Rattus norvegicus: one gene and its partners. The protein of the gene in region 2 purifies or fractionates together with the protein of the main gene of each other region. This does not show direct contact. Links are inferred from orthologs where the notes say so. Each region holds a gene or a part of one and is shown on either strand. Other genes may lie near its edges. The genes, in order: Sin3a, Chd3, Zfp219, Kpna1, Bcl11b, Smarcc2 and Mta2.

Evidence for each region.
Region 1: the proteins of Chd3 (region 2) and Sin3a purify together in Homo sapiens (affinity purification with western blotting; 3 studies listed by BioGRID, with this or other methods). This does not show direct contact. The link is inferred for Rattus norvegicus from reciprocal best matches to the Homo sapiens genes CHD3 and SIN3A.
Region 3: the proteins of Chd3 (region 2) and Zfp219 purify together in Homo sapiens (affinity purification with mass spectrometry; 3 studies listed by BioGRID and IntAct, counting the BioPlex papers as one, with this or other methods). This does not show direct contact. The link is inferred for Rattus norvegicus from reciprocal best matches to the Homo sapiens genes CHD3 and ZNF219.
Region 4: the proteins of Chd3 (region 2) and Kpna1 purify together in Homo sapiens (affinity purification with mass spectrometry; 3 studies listed by BioGRID and IntAct, with this or other methods). This does not show direct contact. The link is inferred for Rattus norvegicus from reciprocal best matches to the Homo sapiens genes CHD3 and KPNA1.
Region 5: the proteins of Chd3 (region 2) and Bcl11b purify together in Homo sapiens (affinity purification with mass spectrometry; 3 studies listed by BioGRID and IntAct, with this or other methods). This does not show direct contact. The link is inferred for Rattus norvegicus from reciprocal best matches to the Homo sapiens genes CHD3 and BCL11B.
Region 6: the proteins of Chd3 (region 2) and Smarcc2 fractionate together in Homo sapiens (co-fractionation; 3 studies listed by BioGRID, with this or other methods). This does not show direct contact. The link is inferred for Rattus norvegicus from reciprocal best matches to the Homo sapiens genes CHD3 and SMARCC2.
Region 7: the proteins of Chd3 (region 2) and Mta2 purify together in Homo sapiens (affinity purification with mass spectrometry; 8 studies listed by BioGRID and IntAct, with this or other methods). This does not show direct contact. The link is inferred for Rattus norvegicus from reciprocal best matches to the Homo sapiens genes CHD3 and MTA2.

What each region holds. Positions count from the first base shown.
Region 1 is NC_086026.1:66,388,283-66,391,782, reverse strand, and holds part of Sin3a (paired amphipathic helix protein Sin3a), read right to left. Parts: intron 164-3,500; 5' UTR 132-163; coding exon 1-131. UniProt on the Homo sapiens protein: Acts as a transcriptional repressor. Corepressor for REST. Interacts with MXI1 to repress MYC responsive genes and antagonize MYC oncogenic activities. Also interacts with MXD1-MAX heterodimers to repress transcription by tethering SIN3A to DNA.
Region 2 is NC_086028.1:54,578,811-54,582,310, reverse strand, and holds part of Chd3 (chromodomain-helicase-DNA-binding protein 3), read left to right. Parts: intron 1-976; coding exon 977-1,263; intron 1,264-1,476; coding exon 1,477-1,607; intron 1,608-1,768; coding exon 1,769-1,919; coding exon of another isoform or gene 1,920-1,937; intron 1,938-2,075; coding exon 2,076-2,269; intron 2,270-2,541; coding exon 2,542-2,772; intron 2,773-2,938; coding exon 2,939-3,142; intron 3,143-3,288; coding exon 3,289-3,500.
Region 3 is NC_086033.1:27,170,169-27,174,177, forward strand, and holds the start of Zfp219 (zinc finger protein 219), read right to left. Parts: upstream 2,801-4,009; 5' UTR 2,632-2,800; coding exon 2,626-2,631; intron 2,319-2,625; coding exon 884-2,318; intron 598-883; coding exon 466-597; intron 231-465; coding exon 1-230. UniProt on the Homo sapiens protein: Transcriptional regulator. Recognizes and binds 2 copies of the core DNA sequence motif 5'-GGGGG-3'. Binds to the HMGN1 promoter and may repress HMGN1 expression. Regulates SNCA expression in primary cortical neurons.
Region 4 is NC_086029.1:78,231,632-78,235,131, forward strand, and holds part of Kpna1 (importin subunit alpha-5), read right to left. Parts: intron 831-3,500; coding exon 705-830; intron 1-704. UniProt on the Homo sapiens protein: Functions in nuclear protein import as an adapter protein for nuclear receptor KPNB1. Binds specifically and directly to substrates containing either a simple or bipartite NLS motif.
Region 5 is NC_086024.1:132,653,103-132,656,602, forward strand, and holds part of Bcl11b (B-cell lymphoma/leukemia 11B), read right to left. Parts: intron 342-3,500; coding exon 138-341; coding exon of another isoform or gene 126-137; intron 1-125. UniProt on the Homo sapiens protein: Key regulator of both differentiation and survival of T-lymphocytes during thymocyte development in mammals.
Region 6 is NC_086025.1:1,476,503-1,480,002, reverse strand, and holds part of Smarcc2 (SWI/SNF related, matrix associated, actin dependent regulator of chromatin, subfamily c, member 2), read right to left. Parts: intron 814-3,500; coding exon 754-813; intron 623-753; coding exon 585-622; intron 372-584; coding exon 241-371; intron 114-240; coding exon 42-113; intron 1-41. UniProt on the Homo sapiens protein: Involved in transcriptional activation and repression of select genes by chromatin remodeling (alteration of DNA-nucleosome topology).
Region 7 is NC_086019.1:215,273,397-215,276,508, reverse strand, and holds the end of Mta2 (metastasis-associated protein MTA2), read right to left. Parts: intron 2,934-3,112; coding exon 2,705-2,933; intron 2,374-2,704; coding exon 2,284-2,373; intron 1,839-2,283; coding exon 1,720-1,838; intron 1,619-1,719; coding exon 1,470-1,618; intron 1,266-1,469; coding exon 1,100-1,265; 3' UTR 501-1,099; downstream 1-500. UniProt on the Homo sapiens protein: May function as a transcriptional coregulator. Acts as a component of the histone deacetylase NuRD complex which participates in the remodeling of chromatin.

The DNA of each region.
Region 1 (3,500 bases), on a different chromosome or scaffold from region 2:
ACTGCTTCATACACAGGAGGGGCCGGGGCAAGAACCCGGTGCTGGTGAGAAAAAGCCTCTGTGCTTCCAGGAATCCTTCGCTGCTGGGCTGCATACACTGGTGATTCCTGGTCATCCAAACGTCGCTTCATTCTGCACTCATGCTCAGAGATGCACTACAAACCTGTACAAACCACAAAATGATAACATAAATAAAATTTCATTCCAGGATGATGTTCATAACTTAGGACCAGTTGCCCAAATTTAATCTAAGTCTGACTTTCGGAACTAAGCTACCTCATCTTAGAGTCAAGCTCTGAATGAATGACCCACACCTTACAGTGAACAAGTTAGAACTGAAAGACAGAAGGTTAAGGAACAGAATTGTAATCAATTTGGTAACACTAAGTTGAAAAAAATCCTACAATTAAAAAATGCAAACAACTTTAAACTCTCCTATTCTAGTTATAGTATTCTGTGATGGTTTCAATGACAATGGCTCCCTAGGTCATATATTTGAATGTTTGGTTCCTAGTTGAGGGACTGTTTAGGAAGAATTAGGTGTGGCCTTGTTGGATAGTGTCACGGAATTTCAAAAAGTCCACACCATTCCCAGTTAGCCCCTTAACCCCCTTCTCTCTCAGCCTCTTGGTTGTCTCAACATTTAAGCTCTCAACTACTATTCGGCACTGTCCCTGCTTCTGTACTCCTGGCCATGACCTCAATGGACTAACCCCATGAACTCTAAGTAAGTCCCAGTTCAAAAGATGTCTTTCCTCTCCAAGTTGCCCTGCTCATAGTGTTTCTTCACAGAAGTATAACAGCAGTGTAAGGTAGCTCCTGAGACACTGTTAGAGTTAATACTGGTTACATACTCACATGCTGCAAAAGCACTCTGAAAACTCAGTACTGGGTCAGAGGATGCTTGCTATAGTGAACAAAGTGGGGCTAGTTATTAGGTAGTTTAAGTTCATAAATACCTATTGTCATAACAACCTGAAACTGTCATAGAGAGGTAAGATATGCCAGGAGCATGAGGTTACCTTAAAGAAAATGTACATTTTAAAAAGTTTATTTCATGTAATTTTTAGAACCTTGAACTAAAAATGAGAATGAGAGAACAGATGAGAGAAAGAGAGAATAGATGACTTCCAAGTTTCCTTCTGGACCTTTCTCACATCCTTTACATACAAGAAGTCTCTTCAGCGTAACAGGAGACATTCTCTTGAAAGAATACACAGTTTAGCACCACTTTACTCAGAAACCCACTTGAGGTTTTTTTGTAAGCATTTCCAGCATCAGCATCATTAACCCAAACATAATACAGCGCAGCGAAGAAGGAATATTTGGAAGCAATACTGCTTAGTGAGTAAAGGTGCTTGCTGCCAAGTTTGACAGCCTGAGTTCAATCCCTGAAATTAACATCATGGAGAAGAGGAGGCAGCTGTAACTGTCCTCTGACATTCACACGCTTGCCCTGGTACACATACATACTTATGCTTGTTTGTATACAGAAGAACTATATAAATACAAAGGGGTCGGAGAGATGCTTCAGTGATCAAGTGCTTACTGCTCAACCATGAAAGCTAAAGTTCCAATCTCAACACCCACACCTCTTATGTTACAACTCCCTGAAACCTCTCCTACAGGAGATCTAGCTTCTGCAGAAGCCACACTTATGTGCAAATGTCAACACAGCCTCCAACACACACAAACTCATCATACACATATAGTATCTCTATTTTGGAATGAGAAACCAGGTCTTATAAAGGGATGGCCTACAAAGTCCTTAACTTTTGACTGCTGCTTCTAGATTTAATTTTTAGTGGTTTAAAACCTAGATGTAATCAGGCAGTGGGAGTCCCGTTAAGTCCAGAACTCAGGAGGCAGAAGCAGGCAGATCTGAGTTTTGATATGAAGCCAGCCTGGTCTACAGAATGAGTTCCAGGACAGACAGGCCACACAGAGAAAGAATTCCCATCTCAAAAACACAAAACAAATGAAACCCATGTTAATCTTCTAAGATTAATCTCTAATAAGAAACCAGTTTTTATAAATGATAAATCAAATATACATGAAGAACACAGCACAGGACCATGAAAAAATTAGAACATTTATTAGGCACTGTATTCTAACCAAACTCTCAATTGAAATTTTATAGCTTTAGTCCCGTTTTATGTGATTTTGTAATGTTCAAATGCTATTCCATAAGCCAGTTTATAGGAAAATGTTATTTTAAAAAAAAGGTAGGGGTTGGGGATTTAGCTCAGTGGTAGAGCGCTTGCCTAGCATGCGCAAGGCCCTGGGTTTGGTCCCCAGCTCCAGGAAAAAAAAAAAAAGGTAAAGGGGCTTGAGAGATGGTTCAGTGGTTAAGAGTACTGTCTGCTCTTCCAGAGGTCCTGAGTTCAATTCCCAGCAACCATCTGGTGGCTCACAACTATCTGTAATGGTTTTGGAGAGATGGCTTAGCTTGGTGGTTAAGAGCACCGGCTGCTCTTCTAAAGAACTAGGGCTCAATTCTCAGCATACACATGGTAGCTCACACCCAGACTGTCACTCTGGTTCAAGGGCATCATGACTCAAGTACATTGGGGCTAAGTTCTTGTATTCCACCTCACTAAGGTACGGTTTTGCTGCATCAAAGCTTACAGTAGGCTGGCTGGTTTATGAGCTTCCAGGAGACTATCCTGTCTCCAGCTCCTATCTTTCAGGAGTTCTAGGACCACAAACACACACTACCCTGCCCTGCTTTTCACTTGGATTCAGATTGAACTCAGGTTGTCAGGCCTGTGTGAGAAAGAGCTTTACTTGTTGAGCCATCTCATTGGCTTAGAAGTTCTTAAAAGATAAGAGTTTTAAGTCGGCTGGTGAAGGCTCAGGCCTTTAATCCCAGTACATGGAGGCAGAGTTCTGTAAGTTTGAGGCCAGCCTGAGCTGTACAAAGAAACCCTGTCTCAAAAGAACCAAACCAAACCAAACCAAAACAAAAGCATAGGATATTTTGTTGTCAGGTAGTCTATGAAAATTTAAAATGTGCACTCTCTTTAATTTACCCAATCCACTCCTAGGTCTCTGACCTACACTCCTGCCAAGTCTAGCTGCTACAGCAGAGTAGGAAAAGCTGAGTGCTAGGCTCTGGCCAACTGAGCTACATCCATGCTGTGGGAACTGAACAACTATAAAAACCAGTGCTCATTGTCAGCTGAAAACATACTAAGTGAAAACAGGCCATGCGATATGTACACTGCAACCTCATGTATGACTTACACACGCCATTCACTCAGTACTTGTACAATCTATAATCTATGTCAAGTACTTGTGTTAATTGTACTGCAACATCACTGAGAAATAAGTCAAGAAATTAGACTTCGGGGGCTGGAGAGATGGCTTGGTAATTGAAAGTGCATACTGCCCTTGCAGAGGACCTGAGTTAGTTCATATCAACCATTAGGCAACTCAGGAGCATCTCTAACTCCAATGCCAGGGAATCCAAACTCTTTGGCCTCCCTGAGCACCTGTAC
Region 2 (3,500 bases):
GATCCCATTACAGATGGTCGTGAGCCACCATGTGGGTGCTGGGAATTGAACTTAGGACCTCTGGAAGAGCAGCCAGTTCTCTTAACTGCTGAGCCATCTCTCCAGCCCCAGAACCCTTTCTTAAGCCACAGTAAAAACAAATCATGCACCGAGAGCAATGGGCGTGAGTTGTGGGACTCTGAAAGCAGAGACTCATGCGAATGCCCCGGGTAGGAGTGTCGTTTTACACAGCAGTTTCGGTGCCCTGGATACACATGCTGAAGTTTAACACAACAGTTTAGTGCCCTACTTTCATCTCGGGCAAGTTACTTAATTTCGTAGGTGCTCGGTTTTCTTTTTTTTGTTTGTTTTTTTTTTTTTTTTTTGGTTCTTTTTTTTTTTCGGAGCTGGGGACCGAACCCAGGGCCTTGCGCTTCCTAGGCAAGCGCTCTGCCACTGAGCCAAATCCCCAACCCCGGTGCTCGGTTTTCTTACCTGTAAACTAGAAATGCATGCTTGGTAGGAGCCTGTGTGGGTTTGATGGGAGGCTGAATGCATAGCCCAGTGATGTTGCTACCTCGCCTCGGGGGTATTTGGTAACTGTCTTTGGAAATGTCTTACCTACACACCTGCTACATAGCCTGTTTGTCAGCACTGAGAATCATAGATATCCTAATAAGAGCTGACCACGCCCCCTAGAGGAAAACACGATGTCTGTGTCTTTCTAACTATCCTGAGGGAAACTGCCTTCAGGTTCCCATAACTGAATAAAACGCAGAAAATCAAGGCAAGCATGCCATTGTGAGGGTGGGACTTGACAGGATAGATTTTCCTCTTAACTTATTTTTACTTAGCTCATTACTTAAATTAATATTTTTCTTAATAGGACATATTTTTCCCACCCAGGAATGTTAGCATAGACTTAATTGATACAGGAGATGGCAGTATTCCCAGACCATCTGTGAAAAGTCTGAGTTTTCTGCTTCTATATTTTCAGGCCCTTAATTGCTAAGAAGAATCCTAAGATCCCGATGTCGAAGATGATGACCATCCTGGGGGCCAAGTGGAGAGAGTTCAGCGCCAATAACCCCTTCAAAGGGTCAGCAGCTGCTGTGGCGGCAGCGGCAGCGGCAGCAGCAGCAGCTGTAGCTGAGCAGGTGTCAGCTGCTGTCTCCTCAGCCACCCCCATAGCACCATCTGGACCCCCCCCTGCCCTTCCACCACCCCCTGCTCCTGAAATCCAGCCCCCACCCATCAGAAGAGCCAAAACCAAAGAGGGCAAAGGTAGGACCCTTCTTCTTCCGACCTCTGTACCCTGCTTTCCAAACTGCATGGCTTCATGACTCTATAACCCATGCTTTCCCACCATGGTTGCTGGGGAAGAAAATGCTTCCTGGGACGGGGAAAGTAACACCCAGCCTAGAGCTCCCTGTGGCTCCTATTCTAGCAGGAAGTGTCATGGCCTGTGGACCTTCTCCCCTCCACATTCCCACGCAGGTCCAGGCCACAAGAGGCGGGGTAAGAGCGCCCGAGCCCCCGATGGGCGCAAGAAGCTTCGAGGAAAGAAGATGGCACCACTCAAAATCAAGCTAGGGCTGCTGGGGGGCAGGAGGAGGAAGGCGGGCTCGGTAAGCAACCCTCCCCATCTGCTCAGCACCTGTCTGTCAAGGGCTGAATTCCATGGACAGTCCCTGAGGGGAGCTGGGGTGGGGACCCACAGTCTGGGGACGGTGCGTGGTGGTGGGTAGAACCCAGGATGCCTCACTCATGGCAGCGGGGCTCTGGGCAGTGTGTTTTTCAGGGTGATGAGGGCCCTGAACCAGAGGCTGAGGAGTCAGACCTGGACAGTGGTAGTGTTCATAGTGCCTCAGGCCGGCCTGATGGTCCTGTCCGTGCCAAGAAACTGAAGCGAGGCCGGCCAGGAAGGAAGAAGAAGAAGGGTGAGGAGGTCACCATGTGTGAGCCTCTCTGTGACTTATTCCTTTGTTGTTTTTCTTACTTCAGATATTGACCTCTATTCAAACCTTCTGTGTGTCTTTCCCTGAATCCCTTTCTTTTTTCTCTGTTCCCTCTGTCCTGACTGGGGTATGTGACAGTCCTGGGCTGTCCTACAGTGACCGGGGAGGAGGAAGTTGATGGCTATGAGACGGATCACCAGGATTACTGTGAGGTGTGCCAGCAGGGCGGGGAAATTATTCTGTGTGACACCTGCCCCCGTGCCTACCACCTCGTCTGCCTTGACCCTGAGCTTGATCGAGCTCCTGAGGGCAAATGGAGCTGCCCCCACTGTGTGAGTACCTGGTGCCTTCATGGTCCCACCTATCTCTTTCCTTCTTGCTTTCTGCTATGGTTTCCCAGGCCTCTCAGCACTACTCAGAGTCCAGAATCCTAATTGGGTCCTTTCCTTCAACCCCTTATTCCCAGAGTCACTAACTTTGGAAAGTCAGAGTATCTTGTTTGATAGGCTCCGTGAGACTTTTATACACGTCTAGGACTCAATCATCTTGGTTTTCCTGTCTCTCCTTCTCTTCTGTCTATGTCTGTCTGCGCCTGACCTCCTAGGAGAAGGAAGGGGTACAGTGGGAGGCCAAGGAAGAAGAGGAAGACTATGAGGAGGAAGGGGAGGAAGGAGAGAAGGAGGAAGAGGATGACCACATGGAGTACTGCCGAGTGTGCAAGGACGGCGGGGAGCTCCTGTGCTGTGACGCCTGCATCTCTTCCTACCACATCCACTGTCTGAACCCCCCACTGCCCGACATCCCCAATGGTGAATGGCTGTGCCCTCGATGCACGGTAAGTAGAACCTCATCCTCACAGCGCCCACCATCCAAGCGCCACCTTTCAGCCATTTCTGAGGCCGCGCAGCTCTTCCTTCCTTAGCCCCTACCCCTTGTCCTACCTAACACGGGGTTCTGTTCACCCCTTTCTTTCCTCTTTCTCTTACACGCCCATCCTGAAGTGTCCTGTGCTAAAGGGCCGTGTTCAGAAGATCTTGCACTGGCGATGGGGGGAGCCACCTGTGGCAGTGCCGGCCCCGCAGCAGGCAGACGGGGATCCAGACGCCCCACCCCCTCGTGTTCTTCAAGGCAGATCAGAGAGGGAGTTCTTTGTCAAGTGGGTGGGACTGTCCTACTGGCATTGCTCCTGGGCCAAGGAGCTTCAGGTACAAAGGCCTCTCCTTTCCCAGCACCTAAGATCCCACTCCCAGCCTCCTGCTCTCTCCTGGCCCTCCGTTCCCTAGGGATCCAGCTCCTTTGCCTTCTTTGGATTTAGAGGTCGTTTCTTCTCCCTTCCTCTGTGCCCCACCAGCTGGAAATCTTCCACTTGGTAATGTACCGAAACTATCAACGGAAAAATGACATGGACGAGCCCCCACCGCTGGACTATGGATCTGGTGAGGACGATGGGAAGAGTGATAAGCGGAAGGTGAAGGACCCGCACTACGCAGAGATGGAGGAGAAGTACTACCGTTTCGGCATCAAGCCAGAGTGGATGACTGTGCACCGCATTATTAACCATAG
Region 3 (4,009 bases), on a different chromosome or scaffold from region 2:
AGTAGGCCGGGTACTTGCAGTGCCCTCTACCCAGGTAGCAGAGGCCTGAGTGGGCTTGGCTCCTGACTGCGGCTGCAGTGAGCCCCGCTGGGAAGGTGGCGGGGGCTCTGGGGGAGGCCCAGGACCCGCACTGCTCCTCTGCTCACGGTGGTGACGCTGAAGGTGATACTTGAGCGAGCCCGACTGGGTACCTGCATAGTCGCAGTGTGGACACTTGTAGGGACGCTCTCCTGTGAAGAGTGGGTTAGAGTAGGTCATGGGGTCACTGTCACTCGCACACCTACACTGGTATTTTGCTCAATTTACAAACTTCATCCCAAGGACCAGGAGTAAATGCTGACTCCCCACGAGGTGATTTAGATGATCTTTCCAACCTGAAAGGGGGCCAGCATGGCCTCCAGCCTTCTGGTTGCTCTTACCTCTCTTCCCCCTAGACCCTCCCCTATGCAGAATGCCTGGCCTCACCTGTGTGCACGCGAAGATGCACTTTGAGGTGATGCGCCGAGCGGAAAGATTTCCCACAGAAGGGGCAGTCCTTGCCAGTGGCCCCACGGCCCGCTTCAGATCGTGTCCCTCCAACCAGCAGCCCGTTTTCTTCTGCAACACGATAAAAGGAAGTTATAGGGTCTCCCTGCCTTGTCCCGGCCATTATACCCACCATCCTTTGGGCCCAAGAGGAAGGAGGTTTGGGGAAACAGATCTGTTAAAGAGATAATACCCTTAGGAAACCACAAAGTTTCCAGTAGGAGAAAGAGAGGTGCGGGGTCGGGGATGGAGGATAGAAGCTCAGGAGAAATCGAAGCAGGTCTTCTGAAAAGGAGTGTTGGACAAAGTTTCAAGAATCAAATGCCACCGATCCCCAGAGAAAATAGTGTGTACATACCTTGGGTGGCCGTAGATCTTGCCTGGGCCCCCACAGCAGGTGCAGACTGTCCTGACCCCTCACCCGGGTTGGGATGTAGGGAAGTCAGAGAGCCCAGTGACCTGCCTCGGGCCCAGCTCTCCTCTTCCGCTTCCACCACTTCTTCTTCCTCCTCTGGTTCCTCTGTACGGTGTCGCCGGGCCCGGTTGGGCAGAGCTGAAGGCAGTGGGCGGAATCCTCCATAGCTTCGGCCACCTCCAGGGTCAGCACCCTCACCATTGGGTCGTACTTCCCCAGCTCGTACACTCAGGTAGCCTAAGAGGCTCGGGGGCTCTCGGCGCTCAGCCGGAGTGGGTGCTGGGGCCAGGAGGAGCGCAGGACCCAGTGGCTCATAAGCCAGAAGGCTCAGGTCAGGAGGCTGAGGGGCCCTGGCAGGCGCAGAGCCGGGGCCTGGAGCACGCAAAGGACCCAGCTTGCTGGTGTGCACCTTCATGTGGTTCTTAAGGAACCAGGGCTCCTTGAAGCAGCGACCACATACGGGGCACGCATGATCAAAGGAGGCCTTGTGCTTGCGCATGTGACCCTTGAGAAACCAGGACTGTGTAAAGCTCTGGCCACACACCTGGCAACGGAACTCAGGTGGCGCGGGGGGCTCCTCCGGAGGCGCAGGAGTTGGGGCAGGGTTTGCCTCACGTTCAGGCTCTGGCCTAGGTTCAGGCTCAGGCTCAGGCTCAAGGGCAGATCTGGGTTCTTGCTGGGGTGGAGGCTGGGGTTCAGGTGTAGCAGTAGCCGCCAGGGGGCGCTCGGAAGCCCCGTGGGCCGTCAGACTGTGGTGCAGCAACTCCTCCTCCTGGCTGGAGCCAAAACTGCACAAGCTGCACTTCCAGGGCCTGTGCAGGATATGCAGGTGGCGTTCCCGCTCCGCCGAGGTGCGAAACTTGCCTTTGCAGAAAGGACAACGGAAGGCAGATGAGGAAGGAACCTGAGGGCGCGCCAGGCCCTCTGCGGCAGGGCTGGACTGCATGCCCCCTGAGCTTCTGGCTCTCCCGAGTCGGGCTTCACGAAGCAGGGCGCGTTCCTCCAACTCCAGCAACAGCCGTGCAGCAGGACTGCGTGGACGCTCCGGCTGGTGCGTTCGGAGATGAGAGCGTAGCAGGGCCCGCTGAGCTGCGCGGTGGCCGCAATGTGGGCACTGGAAGGCTTGGGCGCCCGGATGGGCTCTCAGGTGCAATGCCAGGATAGAATTGAATCGGAAGCGCTTTCCGCACACAGGACAGGGGAAGCGCCGTTCGCCTGCACGAGTCTCAGACCAGCCCACTGCTCCCATCCCAGGAGAGCCGGGTCCTGGGGTCCCGCTGACACCTGGTCCGTTGGAGTAGCGCTGAAGATCCAGCTCGCCGTCGAAGGCTGGTGGGGAAGGCTCTAGGTGGCCGACCAGGATGCGGGGACGTGAGCCCTGTGGGGAAAGAGGCACGTAGAGGACAGGGTGGAAAGGGTGGAAAGGACCGACTTGTAGAAAACGCAAAGGCATCAAGGGCACGAAGAACAGAAGAGTGTGTATGTAAGTTAGGAGGTTGAGGCCGGACCTAGGTACACTGGTGCCTCTCACCTCCAGAAACTGTGGGATGAGTGGAAGTTAGACACTGGGGCCAAATTAATAATAATAACGTGTGTTACAATAATAGGAAGTTTAAAAAAAATAGGAGGCAGGAGAGGGTGTACCGTTGGAGGTACTTTGCAGGTCAAGGAAGAACTTCACTCACCTCCATGGACCCCCTTCACATTCTTTGGTTCTGAGGATTGGAAGGAGGAGGAAGAAAAGCTGCTAATGAAGGCAACAGGTGCGGAGGTGCTAAAACAAGACAGAGTGATTGGAGGAACGATGAGCCCTGGCTTTCAGCAGTAAAGTCACCCCACTTAGCAGCCTGTATTCTTGAAGCCCATCCCTGCTTTCTACTGTGATCCTGAGGTATCACATGCTTCCTACTTGCTATATCAAAACTTGCATCCCTTGATCTGCCAACTTGTATGATGAATCCAGACTTCCTCCCCCAAATGATGTTTTCAACACCTAGTCCAGAACCACCATCACTACAAACACACACACACACACACACACACACACACACGCACACGCACACGCACACACACACACACACACACACAATGTGGGAGGGCATCATAGTATACCCCTCTTCCACTCGCGTTGGGCTGTGCCCCTGGATAAACAAATGTGGAGAGCTAGCCATACTCCTGTTATCCAAACGGTACTAGCTCCTCTCAGACCCAGGGCCAGCCAGCCAGAATCCCTCCAGGTTCCTCCTCCTCGCTTCTGCCGGCACCCAGTCTTCTGGTCTTTCCTCCTCCCCCTCCCCCTTCCTGGATTCCTGATCCATTCATTTCCATTCATTACAGAGACTCATTCATGCATGGGAGAGAAACACCTCCCAGCAGCAGAGTCTGGAGACAGAGGGGGAGGGGCATGAAGGGAGAGCCAGCTACAGAGGGAATGAAGAGTTGGGGGAGGCCTGGAAGTTAAGGAGCACTACCGGCCTAGGGAAGGGGTTAAAAACTGCAAATCCCATTTAGGTTTCACCCCGTTTCAAACCTTGGAGCCTGTGGTTTGACGGGGCATCTCAGCCCCTTTGTCCAGAGCTGTTCCGAAGCTGGCTTTCCTCCTCTCTGCAGGGGAGAGGCTTCCTCACACAAGAGGAGGATTACACTGGCTCTGAGCTCAAGAGGCTGGAGTGAGGGATGGGGGGCGGGGCCTTGCCATCTGCACAGATAGGGGATCCACACAAGCTCTGAGCAGGAAGGGGTTAAAATTCTCCATCTAAAATTCCCTGTCCCCGACCAGCGCTGCACAGGGCTGAGAAGAAGAGAGTTGAGGAAGAGGATGGTAATGGAGGTTTTCCCGCTGTTTAACTGCTGGCAAGGTCATGGAATTCAGGCTTCAGTGGATGGATGACCAGAAGTCATCCTATCTACCTTCCTTCTTCCATATTGAACTGTATCTTGTTCAGGCTAGATGAACTTGGGCCTAGCTTCTTTTTTTTAAACCTCAGACATAATACTCGATAAAGAACTTCCTTACAATGAGATTTATGAAACTGAAATGGGTTACTAAGAAAAACAAAGAGGACTCAA
Region 4 (3,500 bases), on a different chromosome or scaffold from region 2:
CCAGCTAAGGTTATAAAAGGCCATTAATAGTCAATAAAAACTTTAAATCAACCTAACACATGGGTTCATTGGAAAATGTAATTTAGTAAGAAGTAAAGTCAATCTATAGCATATAGTTAGTTCATCAAAACATTTTGAAGGGCTGGGGATTTAGCTCAGTGGTAGAGCGCTTGCTTCGGTCCCCAGCTCTGAAAAATAGAAAAGTAAAAAAAAAAAAAAAAAAACCATTTTGAAAACATAAATACTTTTTTTGGATCTTCCATAAATTAAAGAGGAAATGTATGGCTAAGCAAAAATATCAAAAGACAAAAGACTATCATCAGGATACAGAAAAATCAGACTGAAAAAGTAACACTGGAGGTTGACAGTTCTACGGGAAATGCTTACAGTCTGTATATTAAAGGCTGACCAAAACAATTTTACTTATAATTAAAGATTTAAAAAAAAAAAGAGGCTGGAAGGATGGCTCAGCTGTTACTACTCTTTCATAGGATCTAAGTTCAGTTTCTAGCACCCACAGATGGCTTAAAACTGACTGTAATTCCAGTTTTGGGAGATGCAATCCCCACTTCTGGTCCCCAACAGCATCACATGCACATGATGCACATACGTTAAGGCAAGCACATACACACATAAAAGTAAATAGAATATCTTGACAATGCACCTTTCACACAGGGAGAGAAGGGAGGGTACGACAGCATTACCTGGATCTGTGCCCTATTTCCAGCTGTAATATTAGAGATTGTCCAACATGCTTCTTTTTTGATAGATTCCTTTGGGCTACTCAGCAGATGCAATAAACTCTGAAGAGCTGAGCAATTCAAAATTACCTAAAAGGGGGAAAAAAAAAAAGAGTCTTAAATTTTTTTTTGTTTTGTTTTTGTTTTCGTAGCTGGGGACCGAACCCAGGCCACTGAGCTAAATCCCCAACCCCTTTAAGTTTTAATTATGGCATCGTTCTCAATATATCATTTGGTTTTGGATTTTTGTTGTATTTTTTTGTTTCTTGAGACAGGGTCCTATGTAGCAGAGTGGCCTCAAACTCAATGCCTAATGTAAGAAGATCTTGAAATCCCAGATCTTCCAGTATCTACTTCCCCAGGAGTTAATAAGTACATCTTTAATTCAACAAACTCGTTTTAAGAAACATGTAGGAGGAGAGAAACCCTCCTCTAAAATTTTAAAAGGTAACTTTATATAATACATAAAGTATCTTTAACTTGCATTTACTCATGTATGTATACAGACTTGGGTAAACCACAGTACATATGAAAATCAGAGAAAAGTTTGAAGCAGTTGATTCTCTCCTTCCATCATGGGTCCGAGGAATCACGCTCAGGTCAGTAGGCTTGGTGGCCTTTATCATTTGAGCCAAATTACCAACCCAATAAAAAAATCAGTACTAGCCTGAAATACATTCTAAGATTATTAAACTGGTTTCATTGTATACATTCACAACCACCAGGACATTTGTGGTGGAACACACAATGGTAACCAAGCACTTGGGAGGTAAACATAGGAAGATCTTGAATTTGAGGATAACTTGATCTTTATAGTCAACTGGCTCTCCAAGAAATAAGCAAAAAACTAAAAAGAAATAAAACAAAATACAATATAATACATCTACAATGATGTATTTAAAAACTCTAAGAGGCACTAAAGAAAGGGCTCAACAGTTAGAGTACTTGTTGCTCTTGCAGAGAGGACCCAGCCTCAATTGTGGTTTATAACCAGGCACAAGTCCAGTTCCAGAGATCTGATGCTTTCCTTTCTGGTCCTCAGAGGAACCAAGCTTACATATAGTACACATACATATGTGCACACAAAGCACACAGAATAGAATGAATTAAGTCTTTTCTAAAACAACTAAAAAATAGGGGCCAGGTGTGTTGACACATACTATAATAATCCTAGCACTTGGAAGACAGAGTTGGATTTCTACTGGGTTTAAACCCAGTATAGAGAGAATTATTATAATAGGGCCAGCAAGGGAAACATTGTAAAACACTGTCTCTACTGAAAAGAAAAGGGGTAGGGAAACTTTGCTGAGGCCTTTGGTGCTAAATAATGATATTCTAACCCTTTGGGGCTGACTTTCTAGAGGTTGAAGAGGGTTTGACCTCTGGAATCTTTCTACCTTATACTCAATAATCCAATACAAACTGAAGTCTACAGGATACTAAGAGTTAAAAACCAAAGCAAACCTAAACAAAAAGCCAATACCTTAAAACAGCTTTCAAAAGCAAAGGAATCAGATTATATCAGAAACTAAAACAGATAAAATCATTAAAATGGTAGGTAGGTGAAGAGTTCAAGAATCCATCACTGTACAACTGAATAGGCTCTATTCCAGAAAGAGGCAAGTATTTATAAAGAAATAGAAAATAACTGGTAATTTAATGGTTTTACTTACTACACAAGTAAAATAGCCCAAATGGATGGAACACATTCTTTTTTAAAAAATAAAAATAAAAACCCTACCCACAAAATCGCCAGGAAAAACAAAACAAATCAGCACATTTCAGGCCGGTCTGGAGGTGCTAAAAGCCTTTTCAGACACACAGACATTAAAATGACAGGCAAAAAAATTAACATTTATCTAAGAAAAACTGCTACATGTCAAAAATCCTAAAATTAAAATGTATACCATATCAGATGAAAAACTATTTGTAACATGGACTGGCCATACAGTCCAGAGAGTAAGTGCATTTGCTGGCAATCGGCCCGATGACCTGAATTCAGTCTCAATGACCCATATAGTAGGAAAAAACAGACTCTCATTACATTCTCCTCTCACTACCATGTGACATATACAGATATCACACCAACACACGCACACAGAAACACAAAACAGATGCAAAAAAAGTACAACAAATAATTTATCATAGTTAAATAAATTAAAAAGAAAAACCTAAAATAGAAAATTTCTTCACTAATATGAATAAAAGTTAAAACAAAGCCATGCATTTCCTATTCAATGTATCAACTAAAACAATAAAACTTACAGCTAAAAGTGTTCTTTCATTTACAAAAAGAAAAGAATCTAGTAGTAGTGGTGTGTAGGATGATGTCATTACACAGCAAGGCAGATCCAGCCTATCGCTGGATGAGAAGGACAGGTTGGTGGAGAAAAGTCTAGGAAGGAGAGAGGAGGAGGAGGGGTGGGGGGAGAAGAGACCAAGATGGAGTCTACCATGGAGGATGGTTCAGATTTAGGTGAATTAGATGGATTTTATCTTGTCTAGGTAGGTAGTTTATATCTTTATCAATTGGCACTGAATTTACTGTGTGGATGAATTATGAATTGACAATTTAACATGTAAACATAATTGTTAACCTGCAAGTTTCTGGAACTTTGATTTTACCAGGCTAAAGAGGACAGTGTGTGAAAGACATGGCTAAGAAGCAGCTGGACGAGCAGTTGGAGCGAGCGGATCTGGTTCTGTTGCCTGCACAGAATGAGAATGTGCAGGGTCTGCAGAATGAGGTGGGTGTGTATA
Region 5 (3,500 bases), on a different chromosome or scaffold from region 2:
AAAAAAGCTTTTTAAGTGGGGGGGGCACACCCCCCCTTGGGTTCCCACCTTGGGTCCCCGGCTCGGCCCGGGGCACAGCCCGCCATCCCGGGAGCCCACCTCCCCCACCGCAGCGACTCTGTTACCTGACAACTCACACTGGCATCCAAAGGGAGCCTCCATCTGACCCTCACCCTGAGTCCCGTCGCCCGAGATGGGGCGTGCACCACAGCAAGGCAGCGGGAAACAGGGTGGGAGAACGCCCAGGGCACGCAGAGGTGAAGTAATCACGGAGGTGGGAGGGTGGGAAGAGGAGGCAGCTATGGGGGCCATCGATGGCAGCTGGGCAGGCCTGCACGGCCCTGGAGAAAAAACAATAGAAAACACTGGTCAGTTGGGCCCTGGACTGTACAAGGAGCTCGGGGCACAAGAGGGGGCCAGGGTCACTGGGCTACAGAAAGGCAGCCTCAGAGAGGGTTCGGTCCCGAGGACACCAGCGGCAACTGCGGTCCAGGGGCAAGGGAGAAGGGGTGCACAAAGGCTATAAGCAGGGACTACACCTGCAGCTGCCAGATAGTTTCTGGAGGGGGCCTGCCTTGGGGGTCCCTAGTGCAGGGAGCCTAGCATAGAAGGCCTGTCAGGGCCCCACTCCCAGTAAAGGTTCCCTACAAGAGTCTTTCAGAACGAACTGGAGTGGGCTTCGCTTGGCGGTTTGTTCTCTCAAAATATGAGCCACCCCTCCTTGAAAGAGGCAAGAAACTATGTCGGTGTAGGTTCTCCGGACAGGCCTGCGCCACCTCAAGTCTACCTCCAAGAGTCTGGGCGCTAATGAGCCTCCTGCCTAGCTGACTGCCTGGGGCTTGCTGGACTCTGACAAGTGGCACCCAAGCCCCAGAAGCTCACAAGGTGCCCTGAGCTCCTCCTCCCTCCCTTACCACAAGAAAACCTAGCATGGCCCATGGTCTTCACCCTGGGAGTCCCCACTCCCTCATCGGACAGCCAGTGACAGCAATGAACAGGGGCGGCGAGGGTGCTGCCTTGCCTCCACCCCGCCCCACATGGAGCCTCCACTGCCAGCAAGGCCTGGGTTTGATTTGGCCATTTATCTTACATTGGTTAGGAGACCACCAGGGCAAAACATTTGTGTGAAGCCCTTGCCAAAACCACAAGTGAAGAAGCCCAAATTCCCTGAGTAAATAATTGAGCAGAGAAGCATCAGAGAGACGAGAGAAAAAAAAAAAGAAAGAAAACCAAACCCAAAACACCAACAAGATCCTGGACAGCTAAGCCTCACCAGCTCTTCAAGGGAGGCCAGAGCTTCGCTTCCTGACACCTGCAGATCTGCACAGGTGGGATCTGCCTACCCTGTAGCCACCACAGAACCACACAAGCCCTCGGAGAGCGGGGAGCCTCCAGATCGGGTCTCTACCACGCCCCTGAACATGAGGATGTAGGACGCCCATTGCACAGAGCCCAACAGAGGCCAGAACTGTAGGAATCGGCAACCTCAGCAGTTTCAAGCCTCCTCGAAATCCCATGTCTTACGTGTAAATACAGGATCATGTGAATACAGGATCCAGGTACTTGGGGCACTTGAGAAGGGGCCCAGCTTGGAGCTCGAGCACTGAGATGTCTAGCCAAGAGGCCTACGCCCAGCATTGACACTGCCAGACCCTGCTGAGGCAGTGACATACTCGTACAAGGCACAGTTGTCTCTGCCCTGGCACATAACCCCCAAAGGGCCAAGAGCAAAAAGCCAGAGTTTTCCTATGGGCCTCAAGCAAGTACGATCTGAGGCCAGACTTACCTGGCTCCCATGGGAGGCCAGTGTTTGCCTCAAAGCCCTCTGCATCAAGACACTGTACTTGACCCTGTCCACGAATGGCCGTGAGTCCCTGTGTGGGGGTGGGGGGTGGGGGGGGTCTTCCTTTTAAACCAGAGAGTTAGGGTCACTGAAAGCCATCACAGTGAATTTGCACCAAGGGTAAGATAGGCACCATTAGGAACAGAGAGGACCACCTCCCACTCCACAGGGAGAAACTGAGACCCAAGAGAAAGCACGCTGGGACATGCGCAAAGCCCGTTCCTACCGCTATGGTTGCTTTGGAGTAAAGTGACCAGGGTACCCGGTATCCTGAAGCCAAGGGCCACATGGGGATGGAAGAAAACAGAGAAGCCTGGACCTCAGCCCATCCATTAGTGAAAGGAAAAGGCTTCTGGCTCTACAAAGGGCCATAACTCAGCTAGCACCACGGATCACGGCTGAGAATGCCCACGGGAGCTCCTCAGAGTCGACGCTGACAGAAAGAATGGCCAAGGAGCAAAAGGGAAATAGCATAGCGTTGACTCCACAGCCTTCTGGAAGGAGGTCCCTGGGGCTGAACCAGAGTCTGTCACGATGAAGCCACACACCCATACCAGGTGGTAACACTGGCTAGACAGGTGGCCACAGGCCCTCATCAGGTATGATAGCCTCACTAATGTCTACTGCTCCAAGGGCAGGAGGGTGTGGGGTCCCTATAGCAACCCCTTCTAGGCACCGCTGACCTCCGTCTGAGCTTTGCACACAGTGGGACCTGGATCCAGCTCCCCCAAAAGCTGAATGAAAAGCCACCATGCTATAACGCCACCGTGAGCTCCCGGGCAGCCAAATATCAGGAAACCAAGTAGTAATTACCAGGGGCTGGGGGCGGTGGAGAACTAATGGGTTATGTGGTCTTCGGAGGGCGTGACCAATTAAACAGTAGTGACGGCTACACCACATTGCACATAAATCCAAAGCCCCAAATGGAACGAACTAAAAGTTTCACAATATGCACATCTCCATTTACAAGGGAATCCAAGGTGAGGACGGCCGGTGCCTCCCAACCTCCACCTTCCAGTGGAAGGGATGCTGGCCTTGGAGCTAAAACAGACAGCTCCTGAGGTAGCTCACAGAGATGCCAGCCCCAGGGGTCTGTCGGGGCACTGCGCAGACAGAGCCAGCCACCTAGTAAATGTGGCCACTACCATCCTTACTCACAACGGTCATTTGTTTCCAGACCTGGGACTGTCTCTCCTCTCCTCACCAGGTCTCCTCACAGCACAGAGCCTGCTCCAGCAGGGAAGACACCCTACAAGCCTCTTCAGAACACTTCTTTAAAAAGCCCTCTGAGATGGGGGTTCATCATTGGGAGTGCTTTCCTAGTGGGCATGGGGACTTGGTTTCTGTTCCCAGAATGAACAGAAGATGTGGGCCTGTGAGATGGTTCAGAAGTTGAGGGTTTATCCCCAGGACCCACATAAAGGAGGAGGTGGGAGACTAACCCACAAAATTGTCCTGAGCGCCACCGTGTGCCACAGTTCATCGTGCACACACGGGCACAGTAACAATGTGCACCATACAATTTCACACTTTCTTTTAAAAGACGCTTCCTTTCGCAGTCTAAGCCAGTCCAAACAGACCCATATGTATCCAGGTATGTGGGGGAAGGATGCAGGCACCATCGCAGCTTCTTGTAGGATCTCGAGCGGATTAATGA
Region 6 (3,500 bases), on a different chromosome or scaffold from region 2:
AAAAAAGATTAAGAAAAGAAAATCATAAACTGAAATCTTACATCTCTGGAGTCTTGGACTTGTTCTTGCCGTTGAAGAACTCAGGAAGAGCCCTCCGCTCAATGGCATGGACACTGCAGGATAAATCACAATGGTTCACAAGGCCCCAGGGGTGGGTAGTTAGCAGCTCTTGGCTGTGGGGCAACAGGAGAAACAGCCCACTGATCAGCAAGGGGAGGAGGAGGGTGCGTAGGGTAGCACCTGTTGTAGTCAAACCAGGCAGCATAGCTGGGGACGATGATGTGGTGTGTCTGCTCTGTCACGTTGTCCTCGTGCAGGTCCGCGCTCTTGGTCTGCTCCCCTTTGTTGCCGGTGCTGTTCTCGTCCTCATCCTAGAAGTATGGAGGCTGCTGGATACTCAGCATTCCCATCCCCTAGCAACCCTCAGCTCCTCCGGTAGCCAGGAACAGGATGCCACCGAAGCGGGGAGGGAGATGAGGATGGGCACCTAGGCCGGGGGTGGGGAGGCTGGGCAGAAGGAGAGGTGGAGCCCTGTAAACACATCACAGAGACACACAGAGACAGCCTGTCTAAACCAGCTGCACCTTGCCCGTGGTCTCCATGCTTTCGTCGTCCTGTTCATCTGGAAAGGGAAGAAGCCGAGTGTCAGGCAGGAAGGAGCACAGGGTCAGCAAAGGCAGAGGGCTGGGGGAAGGTAGGCTGAGCGCTCCATGCCTCAGGCACTGCCTGCTAAGGTCTCCCTCCCTGTCTCACCCAGGTCAGTCATGGTGCCGCCTTTGACTGGTGCTGACTCGGAGTCCTTTTTAGTGTTGACTGTCGGGAGAAAAAGCCACTGCATTAGACATGTTGGCCAAAATCAAGCTCTCACTTCTCAGCTGTTAATAGTTTCACATATCTTGCTTTCTCAAAAAAACTTTCAAACATGTTTTCTATTTTACTGCCTTATGCAACCAATGGCTTCCTTTAGCTTTCTCATCTGTGTGTGCAGTTCCATGACTCCCCAGCCTCAGCATCCTAAGGGCCATTCTTTTCTGGCTGCTCTGTCCCCTATCTGTTTCCCTGTACAGTCTTCTAATTGAAGGATGAGCTCATACCAGGTAAGTAGTCAGATACCAGCCCTTGGTTACTCCTGGCAACTGAACCCAGGCCTCACGCACATACGTCTAAGTGTCTACCAGAGTCACAGTCCCAGCACCAAGCCTTCTTTTGGGGCTTGGGGGTCTCATGTGTTCCAGGCCTCTTAACTTACGAAGAGCGGCCTGGCTCTCTGCACCTGCTCCTGAGAGCTGCTGAGCTTACAGGTGAGTACCCCACCAAGCCAGGCTCCCAGCACTTTCTTCTGGTCTTCCCTTCCTAAACTCTTTATTTTGGTTTTGCCTTTTTCAAACAGTCTCAAGCTAGAGAGAAGGTTGAGAGGTTAAAAGCACTGGCTGTTCTTCCAGAGGTCCTGAGTTCAATTCACAGCAACCATATGGTGGCTCACAACCATCTGTAAGTGTAGTTTCATGGAATCCAATGCTAACAAATCTTACAGGCAGATAAACATCATTTTACATGAAATACATCCATAACTAAAATTTATTTACTTTTTTTTTTTTTTTTTTTTTGGAGCTGGTGACCGAACCCAGGGCCTTGCGCTTGCTAGGCAAGTGCTCTACCACTGAGCTGAATGCCCACCCCCTTATTTACTTCTTTACTTAGTATCTTTTAAGAAGAAGAGACACAGACTGAAGCAGCCAGCCTGCCGAGGGCCGGGCCAGCAGTCAGACGGCAGGTGTGAGGCAGCACACTTGGCTTTCCTTCTTATTGTGAGTTATGCTACCGGCCTCAGGAGTCATTCTGAAGCCCAGGCAGATTCTGTACTATTTACATCCTCCTGCCTCAGTCATGCAATCACTGAGATTATAGCCTATACTATGACACCAGGCCTACTTAAATGAGTAGATCTTAATTAATAATATTGTTGTTTTGGGTTTTCTTGAGACAAAGTCTCACTATGTAGCAATCAACAGCTGTCTTGAAACTCACTATGTAGACCAGGCTGGCCTTACATTCACAGAGATTCACCTGCCTCTGCTTTCTGGGTACTGGGATTAAAGGTGTTTACCACCATTTCCAGTCAGATCTTAATTAATTAATTGTTGAATACAAGGTCTCTGTATGGAACCTGGCTGTCCTGGAACTTGTGATGTAGACCAGACTAGCCTCTAATAGCTTACAGAGTTCTTCCTGCCTCTGCCTTCTAAGTGCTGGGATTTAAAATCATGTGTCACCATGTCTAGCCTAAATATTTAAAGAAGATTTAAAACTGTCTGAAAGGCTGGGGGACAGAATGCAGGACTCTACACCTGCTAGGCAGTGTTCACTGTAAGCTGCACCCCTAGCCTAATTTTCAATGCTGTAAAGCAGAGGAGACTTTTCTCCCTTAATTTCATACACAATGCTCAGGAGAAAACAGCTTCCCAACCCCACTCACATACATCTCTTGATATGTGAGGCTGGCGGACAGGGGACAGACTACAAACCAGTACTGTAGTGCAGTCCCCTCAAGAGCACTCCTCATACTGGACAGACTCACAGTCAGCAAACAGTGCCTGCCGTCCAGAGGAGATTCTGAGCCTAAAAGAGGGGACCAGATCCAGGTCCTCTGGAGCTAGAGGGCTCTCTGGGGACAGCAAGCACTCTGATTGCTCAGCCACCTCTCCAGACTCCCAGCTCTGTTTAAAATGTCGTCTTAACATTTTTACAGTTTCATTTTCTTTTCCTTTTTTTTTCTTTCTTTTTTGATTCAGGGTTTCTCTGTGCAGTCCTGGTTGTTCTGGGATTTGCTATGTAGACAGGGTGGCCCTGAACTCAGATCTGCCTGCCTCTGCCCACCAAGTGCTGGGTTAAAAGGTGTGTGCTACCACCGTGGTAGATTTTTATTTTTTGATTTTTTTTGAGTTATTTCTCTGTGTGTGAGTGTTTGTCAGAATGTATGCTTGTACACCATCTGCATGCAGTGCCTGCAGAAGCCAAAAGAGGGTGCTGGGTGCAAGGGTCCTGGAATTAGGCGGTTGTGAACCACTGTGTGGAACTGGAAAGCAAACCTGAAAAAGCAGCCATTGCTCCTAACCACTGAGCCAGCAGTCTAGTCCCCACCCCACTCCCTTTTTTAATCATAATGTTTGCATTTTTTAAAGATTTATTTATTTATTTTATGTACATGACTACACTGTAGCTGTCCTCAGACTCACCAGAAGAGGCCATCAGATCCCATGATAGATGGTTGTGAGCCACCATGTGGTTGCTGGGAACTGAACTCAGGGCCTCTGGAAGAGCAATCAGTGCTCTTTTTTTTTTTTTTTTTTTTTTTCGGAGCTGGGGACCGAACCCAGGGCCTTGCGCTTGCTAGGCAAGTGCTCTACCAGCAATCAGTGCTCTTAACCATTGAGCCATCCCTCCAGCCCTTGCATATGTTTTAAAATGGTCCTAAAGTGAGGTTTTGGCAGTATAATTTA
Region 7 (3,112 bases), on a different chromosome or scaffold from region 2:
CTGGGATCAACTCCCCAGCATCAAAAGGGAGAAGTGGGTAACAGGAAGACATTCTCACACCTTTCTGTGGAGACTCAGAGCCATTAGAGAGCTTTGAATGAATCCAGATCAAGATACTGCTTGCACTCCAGCCCCAATGGGAGAAGCTTTAGTCCCACAAGAAGGCTAGCTGGCACAGACTACCTCCAGTCCCACTGCTTATCTCGTAAAGCTGTTCCTAGAACAAGCACCATCTGTACCTCTTTCAATGTCCTTTGTCCTCTATTTCCCCTCAAAGATACCCCCAACACACACACACACTCTCACAACACACACACTCTCTCACACACACACACACACACTCTCTCTCTCTCTCTCTCTCTCTCTCACACACACACACACACACACACACACACACACACACACACACACACACACAGCAGCAGCAGAAAACAGCTGAGCCTGGAGGAGCTGAAGAAAAGAGCTTTTTATTCGTCACTATAAGAACCAATTACAGAATCTGAGGTTAAAAAACAGACAAAAGATCTTTATTTCTGAGAATTGGCATATAAAAGGCAGAGGGAGAAAGGGGAGGGAAGAAGAGTGAGCATGGGCTGGGGTTGATGCCAGCTTAGGGCCCTCAAACTCCAATAAGGAAAGTCCGGACACCGGACAGTAAGAGTAACCCCCCCATCCCCAATAGAAAATAAAGAAAAGAGACATGGCAGTGTACTCCCCCTTCCCCCTGCCAGGGACCAACACCTGATATGTTTACTCTTCCCTTCCTCCATCCTTTTACAAAGGAAGGTAAATTTTTAAAAAAATTAAAAAACCCTCCCCCCAACTGTCCAAACCCACTGTGGGTCCCAGGCCCCAAATAGGGTAGGTACACACAAGTAAGTTCCTATAGGCTGTTTTCCATCACAGGCATGGAGAAGCCCAAAAAGGGGAGATACTGGCAGTAACACCAGAGGGTGTTCAACCCCTGCAAGGACACACGCACACCAACTCCAACCCTCCCTCACTCCTTACTCCCTTTGATACCAAAAGGAATGAAGATTTGTATGCCCTGGGCAACCAACCCTTTACCTCTCATCCCACCTCCCTTCCCCTAAGATGCTCAATCCTCCAGGACAATGGGCTCATTGGTGCTAGCAGGATGTGAAGATGCCGGCAGAGGAACTGGGGGCCGCACTGTCATCAGCGCTGTCTTCACCTTCAGGGGTAAGTTGGGCCTTCGAGCAGCTCGGCGCATTTCCAGGTGAGTTAGAGCTTTCCTTAAAGCCCTGGCCAAAAAGAGCAAGACAGAAACAGGGAGGCTTGAGGAGCAGCAAGACTCAACCAGATAAAACTCCACAATGCACTCTACAGTTCTACCCTCGCCTCATTCTGCTGTGCACCTCTCTTTCTCAGACACTCCTACAACTTCCAATGCCCGCCAACTTGATCGTCAGCCTCTCAGCCCCTCCCATGGTGGACTCCCTCCCTACCTGGTATCCTTTGTGGCCACAAATACCACTGGATTGGGAGCATCAGCAGGGTTTAGTTTCTGACGCTTGGCTGCTGGCTGTGAGCTTGAACGAATCCCTGAAGCCAGAGGCCTTCCATTGGCAGAGAAGGGAACCCCTGCCCCTGCCATCTGGAAAAGGACATGGTGTACATGAAGGAGCTACCTTCCTTAGACTCCTACTAGAAATAAAAGCCCACCCCATTCAGCCTTCCCAGTCCACTGTCACTCACAGTCTCATAGGAACGTTTCACCATAATGCCCCCCAGGCCTCGATTCTGGGTCAGCTGGTTTCTGTTGATTGGTGTCTTGGTGCCCCGAGGTGTTTTTGGTTTCAGAGGTGCCTGAGCCACTATCAGCAGAGGAAGAAGGGAGATGAAATAGAACAAGACCTTCTCATTACCATTCTTTCTTCCCTCTCTACCCTGACCAGTTGTTTACCCTAATGGCCTAAAGATTAGTAATGGAGAAAAAGGTCTATCAAGCTACTTAATCAAATTTTAAAAAACATGTTTCAGATCAGAAAATACTTATGTAAAGCCACTACTATGCCAGAGATGGAGCTCAATGGTAAATACTTGACCAGAATACATGAGGTTCTGGGTTTTGATCTACAGCACCACCACCAAAAACCAATTATCACAAGAAGCACCATAATAAGAGAACACACACACACACACACACACACACACACAGTTTATGTGGACTCAGTGTGAAAGGAAAACTCTGAGGAAGAAAAGACTCTTAGCTGGCAACCTTCCACCCACCCTGGATTGAGTGTAGTTCCCATCTCCTACCCAGATCTTTGACAATAGCTGCCAAGGGCAGTCTCGCCAGGGGGTGAATCTTCAACGGTGTCTTGGCAGCCTTAGGAAGTCGGATAGAGCCTGGAGAAGAGAGAAGAGCCTCTGGGCATTCTGCAGCTTTGTTTTGGGTTTTTGAAATGGTTCTGCAGTGAAGTCCCAGCCTAGAACTTGCTTATCATCCTGCTGACTCCACTTCTCCACTGCTTGGTTACCGGCATGTGTAACAATGCCTAGCCTTGTTTCTTAAGATTGGGTCCTACTATTTAATCCAGGCTAGGCCGGAGCCATTACATAGCCTGGTCTAACAGGGACTGAGGTAGCTATATCCTGTCTCAGCCTGAGGGCTTATGTTCTAAGCATACACCATCAGACATGGCAGATCAAAGCCTCTGCACTAGCACGCAGTCCTTACACTCTGCCTTGATGGCGTTGGCATTGATGGGGGCATAGGGTCTTCGGGCAGCCCTCCTTGGCTGTAACAGGTCTCTGCACATCCGTCTAGCAAGACGAGTCAGCTTTGTGGTCTGGAGCAAGAAAGTTTGCCTGTTCTTAGCCAGCAACTTAGCCCGGTTAGCACTGGTTGTATAGGGGGAGAGACTTTGGGCTTCAGGTCTGGATAAATGACCTCTTGAGTGTGGCTCCTGGAGGAATGATACATAAAGAAGAGAAAAGGCAAATCAACACTGCAGCTCTGTCCTCCATCACCTGCAGACAGCAAACTTCCTACCTGACCTCTTCACTGAAACCCCTGCCGACCTTCCTGGCGTCCCAATACTTAGCAAGTGCTCCTGCCCATTTGACAGTCTCCATGGAAGAAGTC